Linked DNA regions of Caenorhabditis elegans. The protein of the gene in region 2 interacts with the protein of the main gene of each other region in a pairwise test. Each region holds a gene or a part of one and is shown on either strand. Other genes may lie near its edges. The genes, in order: slo-2 and bkip-1.

What was found.
Region 1: the proteins of bkip-1 (region 2) and slo-2 interact in a protein complementation assay, tested with the Caenorhabditis elegans proteins (one study listed by BioGRID).

Annotation. Positions count from the first base shown.
Region 1 is NC_003284.9:11,400,918-11,406,212, forward strand, and holds the start of slo-2 (RCK N-terminal domain-containing protein), read right to left. Parts: upstream 3,284-5,295; coding exon 3,208-3,283; intron 2,880-3,207; coding exon of another isoform or gene 2,843-2,879; intron 2,288-2,842; coding exon 2,143-2,287; intron 645-2,142; exon of another isoform or gene 594-644; coding exon of another isoform or gene 544-593; intron 391-543; coding exon of another isoform or gene 287-390; intron 77-286; exon of another isoform or gene 1-76.
Region 2 is NC_003280.10:14,099,645-14,103,392, reverse strand, and holds bkip-1 (BK channel Interacting Protein), read right to left. Parts: upstream 2,131-3,748; coding exon 2,000-2,130; intron 1,956-1,999; coding exon 1,894-1,955; intron 1,034-1,893; exon of another isoform or gene 998-1,033; coding exon of another isoform or gene 956-997; intron 746-955; coding exon 729-745; downstream 1-728.

The DNA.
Region 1 (5,295 bases), on a different chromosome or scaffold from region 2:
TGCACGATGCAAGGCGGTTTAGAATCCACAGGTAAAGAGGAAAAATGCAAACAAAAAGTGATATAGTTTTGGACATGTACACCTTTTTCTCATATTCCTTGTTCCACCTGCCTGCGCACAGCAGAGTCAATCGGCGCTCAATTATGGGCTCACACTTTTTCTCTATCTTCTAGAACTTTTTTCTTCTACGCATGATTTGTCATTAAATTTTCCCGCGTCTCTGTTCTATGTTCCATGAGATATTTAGAGATAGTCAACAGGTTGTAAACACATAAAAAACTATTACACTTCTTCAAGAATCTGCTGGGTGCTTGGAGCTGGTGAAATCCCATTGGGTGAAGCTTTCCGTCTTGCAAGGAGCTCACCGAGTTGGTTGTCCTCATCGTGCATCTACATGTTAGTATATTAACAAAACTTTTAAATGGAAAAAAAACAGTACTAAAAAGGAAGCTTGTTATGAAAAACAAACGTCAGGAAAAATCAGTGAAAATAAGGGTGAGAAAAAAGAGAACAAGTAAGAAAGTATTCATCTTTTTGACTCACTAGTTTCTCCTTATTGGTCTCTCGGGTGTCGGAGGGCACATCCCAACCATGATTGCATACCCGAAATATTGAGTCAAAGAAACTTTTGAGAGGAGCCGAATGAGATTTCGAAAGGGCAAAAAACAAGTGGGATATTGATATGCTCTCTCTCTGCAGGAAGAAGTTGAAAGTTTCACTTTACAACCCAACAGATGAAAAAAGCCCACTCTTCAAAAAGTTATGAAGTGAACATGAGTTCCGGTTTTTTGAAAGCAGTATTTCTCCACAAATTAAGTAATAACATAAAAACAATACTATGCTTGTTTTTATATATTTTTTAATACTTAAGAGTTGTCCTTAGAGAAAATATACTGAAATGAAATAACAGAAACAAAACAAAAATCTCAAGTGTGTTGGAAATCCGAGAAAAACTAGTGGAGCATGAAATTGAGCTAATTATTGAAGCTTCGTTTGGGTTGTTTAAGGAAGTGATTCTATGAACAGATGCGTGTGAGGTCAATTAACGTTTGGAAATGTTAACTTCTGGCACATGATACATTCACAAGTTGTGAAATGTTTAATTGTATTCAGGACTTACAACTGAAATCATTTAAAAAGTTACTTTTTAAAACTTTTTTTTTGTTAAATTTGATGACATGATAGTTCTAAAATCTGATACCAAAAAAATAAATATTAATAGTGCAGAAATGTTACATTTTTCTTCCAAAATACTGAGTTAATGTTCTTTTAAAGTACTTCAACTTCTCAACAAAAAAAGGAAAAAACTCCAAAAAGGGAAATTCTCTAGATGCTCGACCCCGTCTTCACCCTGAATGCATAATAATTGTGGCATGGAATAGACAACATGAATGGATTCTAGATGTCCACACAAGACGAGAAGGGTCACAAGAGATAATGTAGTACGTTAGATATGTTCAGATAATGAAAGAATGGATATGAAAAAAGTAAAATCCGCTAGATTCATGAAAACTTCCCCAAGGGGCACGAGCAACAACAAAGATGAAGAAAAAGATGTGTTTGTGGCAGAAGTCATCCCGAAAGAAAAAAGAAAGAAGAAGAAGCATCAGAAGAATGAATGAATCAATGAATCAATGCAGCTTTTCAACTTAATTCTCGCACATATTTTATTCTTTTTTATTGCTCCAAGTTATCTTGGAACTTGAAGTTTTAATAGTTAAAGAATCTTAGCGTGTTTAAAACGAAGAGCCTTCCGCCATATGGAAAGCTTTTATGAACTGCAATTTCTCAACTTTTTAAGTAGGCAAAACTTATGACCAATAAGATAGTTAGAATGAAGAATAAAACTCAGAAATTCCGTATTCGTCAAGCGAAATTTCAATTAACCCCACTACTGCTCTTTTCATCTGTCACAGCAAAAATGTAACAGAATAGAAGATGATACTAGTTCATACAAAGAGCATATGCAAAAGAAATGTATCTGAGTCTTCTTCTTCTTCTCTAATTTGAGCCTCACTCCTCTTATGTCTAATCCGTCCAGTAGGATTTAGAATTTTCAAATCACATGCGTTGTCTCGAAATAAATATTTTTTCTAATTTTCAACGGACAAGTATGAAACTCTCAGAATGGATAAAACTTACGGATCTGCACGGAAAATGTCCGTGAGTTGAGTAATCGACTGCTTGAAATCATCGAAAGAAGTTGTTGGTTGCAGCTCGTTCATCAGCGAAGCATATGAGTTTTTGTACACGGTGCCTTCTGCCTCCGAATCAGTACGGGCAATGTCTGAAAAATAATAATAAATGATGTGAAAAAGACATTTTTTAAATAAATATATTCACTAGCTTTGTCGATGCCAATATTATACTGCTACAAATACCAGAATATTGAGCTTGCCGAGCTATGTTAACCAATCTTATTCAAAGCTAGTTTTTGCTTTAGAGTGTTTTTCAATTTTCGAATAAGGTGAAAACACGATTAAGTAAATTACAGCAGTTATTTTTAATTTATTGGTCTCGGTGAAATGCCAAACTGAAATAACACTTTTTTTTATTTGCGAGTATTTTCAGCGAATCGGCTTTTACGCTTTTGTGATACAGAATTGCATTTTATTCTGACGCTATAATACTCTGCTATAGAACTATGTTGAGAGCAAAATTATTATATTACATAGGCCATTCCACTAGCTGTAGTTCTGAATTGTTAATCATTAATTATGCAGTAATCAAAAAAAAGGAATTTCCTATAAAATCACCAATTAACATGGAATATGCTGATAAAAATTTTTCGTTATATTCTCTCAACAAGTTGGACATTTCTAGTTTTCCAAAGTTTGCCTACCATCGTTATCAAAATATTCTTCGTAGATATCATCCATCTGAACAGTGAAATCAGAAACCGAGAAATAAATTGAGGAAACGCTTTTTCAGAATGGCAAAGCCAATTTGTTTCATTAACCAAGATGCGCGTATTTGGATGTGCTCACGGAGTGGAAAAGAGCACTCTCAATTAGAAAAATTTCATCATTTGCGGTGTTGTCGTCGCAGTTTCATTCAGACCGGACATGTTTCAAAATTCACGTTTTTCAGTCAGACTCATAATGCTTGAGGGCATGAAAAGGAATATGATGAAAGGAACGACGGATGTTGAAACTTTTGTTATAATTTTTTATAGAATTCAAAATTAGAAAGAGTTTGTGTGCTCACCATCTACATCCTGATCACTCATATTTGACATTGATGGAATTCTACGTAGACCAGTATACTGGATGTCATCAGACATTTCAAAATGTTAAAAAAATAAACGGGCCAATAAGGGAAAATGTTGAAGGAACTTGACTCAAAGTAGTAGTTTTTCGTCTCTATTTCCCTCTGTCGGTCATTTGTTTTCTTTTTTGTGGCTTTCCAAGCATGAGAACCTGGGTATTTCCTTGTTAATTATCCCTTGCAAATTGCATTTATTTTTTTCAAGTGGTCAGTTTTGAGTAACAATCAGAGGGCCTTTGGTAGAAATTTTCTCGAAAACAAAACAATTTTGAGCACAGCTTCTTCAGCACTGAAAAAGCGGTTTCATATATGTATTCAGAAAAAAATATTTTATAAATTTAAAAATTTAATTTCATAAAGTTTAATTTAATTTCATTAAAAGCGCCAAGAAAGATTTTTAAAACTGGTTGAAAGTTGTTGCCACATATGACAATTTTAAGGCAGTTTTGGAATTGTTTTTTTCAAGTTTTCCATTAAAAATAAATGTTAATTTCATACAAGTAATTTTTTTTTTTAATATTGAAATATTTTCATTTTTGATGAAGATTGAAGATAGATAAGCTCACCTCTAATTCAAAAGTTTAGAAGACAAAATTGAACTAGAAATTTTGAATAGAAAACTTAAACTTTCTCTGCATTCTTCAGTTTTCAGAAAGATGATTTTTGAAAATATTAAATACAATTATTGACTATCAGGAAAACACTATGTTAGTAGCAATTACTTGGTGAATAACTTACACAGAAACGGAACATACGGCATTTCTGAAGTTGAACGGAGTAAAACGAGAACGATTCGATCAACTTTAGTTGAGAATGTTGTCAGTCAGTTCAGAATAAACAGAGCCAGTCAGTGAATGTGAGGAGGTGGAAACGGAATAAAAACTATATTTGCCTCGATATAAATATGGACTTATCTGCAGCTATCGAAATGAAAACCAAAATTTCATTTAGAAAAAGGAGCTCAGGAAGGCTCCCAAAAGATTTTATTGTTTTTGGAATCTGTCCGGCAGCGTCATCAATACCTCATTTGTATTTATGAATGGAGCACGCGCGAGCTGTTTCCTACTTATTCTTATATTTCGAGGTTAAGCCTTGTTTAATTCGAGCCAGTGAGCACCAGTTCTTAGAACAGAAGTATGAAGTTTGTTATTACTTTCACACAGGGGACACAGATGTGTTTTACTGTGAAGCTCTTGAATATTAGTATCGCATAACAAACACTGATAATTTTCGTATAGCAGACCAAGACTAATATTGTAATTATAAATTGTTATGACAAACCTGACTCTAACAGCCTCCTTCGCTCTTCTTGCAATTTTGGTGGTAAAACCTGCAATCAAACATAAAATGGTTATAAGGTCAGAAGCCATACACAGCGACTGAGCACAACAAAAACATACTCCGTTTAGAAGTTTGAAGACACCATTTTATTTGAAAAAAAAAACAGCAACAAACTGTTCAAATTGATTGTTTATTCTGTCAGAGATTGAATCAGTTTATAACTTTTAAAAATGGGAAACATTTTATGAGCTTTTTAAAACAATTATAAATAGGAAACTCACGTCGTTTAAAGCGTACACCATTTTAGTTGGAAATAAACAAAACTAAGTAAAATACGAACTATATTCATAAGAAAAGACACAGTTGTCATGCATACCCGAGTCCTACACACTTGAGAAGATGAAGATATTTCAAGACAAGTACTCGCAACGAAAGAATGAAAAAGTACCTTTTTCTGTGTTTCCATTCTTTTTAAAATCACTCAGAAGACCCGAACGGAGATCATTTGCTGCAAAATGAAACGGAAATAAACTAAAATCCTAATCCGAATTTTGCAACAGAATAGCAGGCGGCATCAGCTTTACACAAAAGGCATCGTGTAAATTCAATAGAAGGGAACTCAAGGCTTACATGGGGAAAGGATAGAGATAGAAGTAGATTGAATTTGTCGCCCAGTGAAACTTGATAACATATATCGCTGACTTCCAGTTCCGTGCACAGCTTCTAAATGGCAGAAAAGCGCAAGAA
Region 2 (3,748 bases):
AAATTGGCAATTGCTGAAAATTATCAGCAAATTTTAGGTTTGCAAATTTTTTTTGGAAATTTCAAAAACTCGATTTTGATCGTCAAAATTGTACTCATCCTATAAATTTTCCTACATCTATTTTGAAAAGTAAGCAATTTCTATGAAAATATCATTTACAAAAATGGGAAAAATTTCAAAAAGGCGCAGTTTCAAGTGTTTCCGTATTATAAAAAATCCCTTTGAAAAATTCCGGCAATTTGCCAAAAGTTTCTGTCAAATCGGCAAGCCGAAAATTTGCCGTTTTGCCGAAATTGCCAATTTGCCCATTTGTCGACAAAAAAATTTGCCGAACATCAATTGTCGCATATGTCACAATTGCCGCATTTCTAGACAAAAAAGTTCAGAAAAATAATTTTTCATTCAAATATTGTTCGTTTTCTTTTATCAAACCACAAATTTTAAAATTTTCATTCGAAAAGCCAAAAATGTACAAAAAATCAATCAATAAAATATGAGGATCGATGAATAACCAGGCAAATACCAATCACTGCTGCTTTTTTCGCTTTGATACTTTCCATGCTGATTCAGCTGAAAAATTGTTAATTTATTGGTTTTAGGAGCTTTTTAAATTTAAACATTATTTTTGTTAATTAAAAAACCGCTTACCAGGAGCAATAAGTGTATAATATGAGACGACTGCAATTATGAGAATAGTCATGAAAAGTGATGCGTAAAGTGTGTACCATTCACCCGCTTGGAATTTCTGAAAAAAGTTGAATTTTTTTGTTTAAATTTTTGACTTTTTTAAAACAATTTTGGCGCTAAATTTGAAATTTTGTTTAATTTTTCAACTTGTTTTCTAACAAAAAAATTAAGAATTCATAATATTTTCTGAATTCTGACAGAATTATCCATTATCGACAAAAACCTTTTTTTTTCAAATTTCCAACAAAAAAATCAAATAAAAACCCACAACATCTCCAGGTCTATGAGAATATCCATCAATTTGTGGCATTTATTTCCGAGCAACAAAAAACAATAAGCAGAATGAGAAAATGTGAGCACAAAAATATAATCGATTTGTGTGGAGAGCTGGAGAAGCTCTGCTGGATGTGTCTGCGGTCTCTCGCTTCTTTGTGCTCTCTAGCATGGTGGACCACCACGCCGCTGAGCTTGTGCTCCGGCTCATTAGAGATGGAGATTTTCGAAATTTGAGAATTTGTTCGGTTTCGAAAATTGAAATTTTTTTTAGATCTATCAAATATTGTGAGGGAAAAAAGTTTTTTTTTCGATTTGCAAATTTTTAAAATTGTTTTTTTCTGTCAAATAAATGACAATTTGACAATTGGAAAATTTTTCAGTTGACAATTGACAATTCGAAAATTGTTTCCATTGACAACTTGCCAATTTTACTTTTTGACAATTGACAATGGACAATTTGACAATAATTGACAATTTGATAATTTGACAATTCAAAAATTATTCAATTTACAACTAGCCAATTTGACCTTTTGACAATAGGCAATTTACAATTAGACAATGGTTGACAATCATTGACAATTTGAAAATTCGAAATTTTGTCAATTGACAATTTGCCAATTTTACTTTTTGACAATTGACAATGGGCAAATTGACAATTATTGACAATTGACAATTGTTGACATTAATTGACAATTGGCAATTTGACAATTAACAATTTTATACTTGGCTATCTGACAATTTTCCATAACGACAATTAGACAATTTGCCGAATTGGCAATTGACAACTTGGAGATTTGACAATTGACAAGATGGCACTTGGCAATTTGACAATTTGACAATTTGACATCTGTCAAATAACAAATTGGTCATTTGACAATTGACAATTGAAACTTGACAATTTGGCAATTTATCAAAAAATTCCAAACTCACTGAAATCATTGTCTAATTTTTCGTAATCAAAGGCCTTTGATAATGATGATGAGCATAAGGATCTGAAATTTTTTTATTTATACACTACAAAAACTGCAAAAACTACAAGATACTTTTTTTGCAAAACTTGTAATAGGCGACCACGCCTAGTGCCAAAGCTACTGTGAAACAGAACATAATCCACGTCAGAATTTCGCCAGGCTGCATTTTGTTCACTCGCGATGTTGTTATATACATTTTTGGCTGATAATTCTGGAAATTCTTGAAATTATTTTTTGAAATAAAGGGTAATTGAACTTTGAGTTTTAAAAGTTGAAAAAATGTAGACATTATGGGAAACAAAAAGGGCAAAGTGAAATTTGAGAACTGAAAGTTTTTCAGAGATGAATGGGCTTGAGAAATGATGATGTCACTTTTGTTGGGAAATTTTTTGAAATTTTCAGTAAAAACAATTTTGAAAATTTTTCAGAATTTTTAGAAAATTTTTTAAAACATTTTTTTTTTGAAATTTCTGAAAAATTTCAATTTTAAAAATCAGTAGTATAAAAACCAATAAAACCAGCAAAAAACGCTAAAACATAAAGAAAAATGAAATTTCACACGAGAAGGTAATGAGATTAGCTGAAAGCGGTCACATGCCTGAGCAATTGATTTTTTGGAAGGCTTCAGGCTAGGGAGCTGCTTGAAAAAGCTTAAAATAATAGAGGGAACATCTTCTCATGTTTTAAAAGAAGGTAGCCTGAAGGCGACCTACTGCCTTTTGACGCAAAAAATGTCGATAGGTTAAGTAGGCACGGGAGGCAGGCAAGGTCGATAGGTTAGTAGGCACGGAAGGCAGACAAGGTCGATAGGTTAGTAGGCACGGAAGGCAGGCAGGGTTGGTAGGTTAGTAGGCACGGAAGGCAGACAAGGTCGGTAGGTAAGTAGGCACGGATGGCAGGTAAAGTCGGTAGGTAAGTAGGCATGGAAGACAGGTAAAGTCGGTAGGTAAGTAGGCACGGGAGGCAGGCAAGGTCGGTAGGTTAGTAGGCACGGATGGCAGGTAAAGTCGGTAGGTAAGTAGCCACGAGAGGCAGGCAAGGTCGGTAGGTTAGTAGGCACGGAAGGCAGGCAAGGTCGATAGGTTAGCTTTGAAATAAAATTTTTAAAAAAAGTTTTGAAATAAAATCCGAATTAAAGTTTTTCAGTTTTCGGATAAAAAAAAAATTGAAAAGTTCAATTTTGTTTTCAAAACAGATTAAAGAATTGGCGCAGAGATCAGTTTGTCTCGAAAGTGCAAAAACCAGAACTTCCTCTCGAAATTTCGATGGCCCATAAAATTTCAAAAAGTTTTCTTGGAAATAATATGGGCGGCCCCCCGAAAAAAAAATTTTATGAGCTGTATAGCCATTTTGAGCACAGCAGAGCACAAATTAAACTGCCACGGGGTGGAATTTTTGGAGGCTTTATGAGAAAATTGGCCTTGTCATGGGGTGGATTAAAAGGACGAGCTTTAAGGGGTTAATGGGGTTGTACAATGGGGTACTGTAGAGGAAAGGGTCAGAAATTAAATGAAAAAAATTCTACGAAAACTTACTATTAGTTTGAAAATTATTAAGTTTTAAATTTTAAAATAAAATTTTCAACTTTCCGGTAATTGTTTTTTTTTAAGAAAATATTTCAGAACAAACAACTTCATTTTATTTTTAATTTGAAAATTAAAAACAAAAATAACTGTTTGCCTACATACCTGCCTACTGATTTTGCGGAAAATTAAGGTTTTATTTGTAAACCTACTTTGGGCTTCCATGGTAGGTGCATATACATACAGGCGGACGTGCCTGCCTACCTACCTGCGTTTGTGGCCTATTTTATG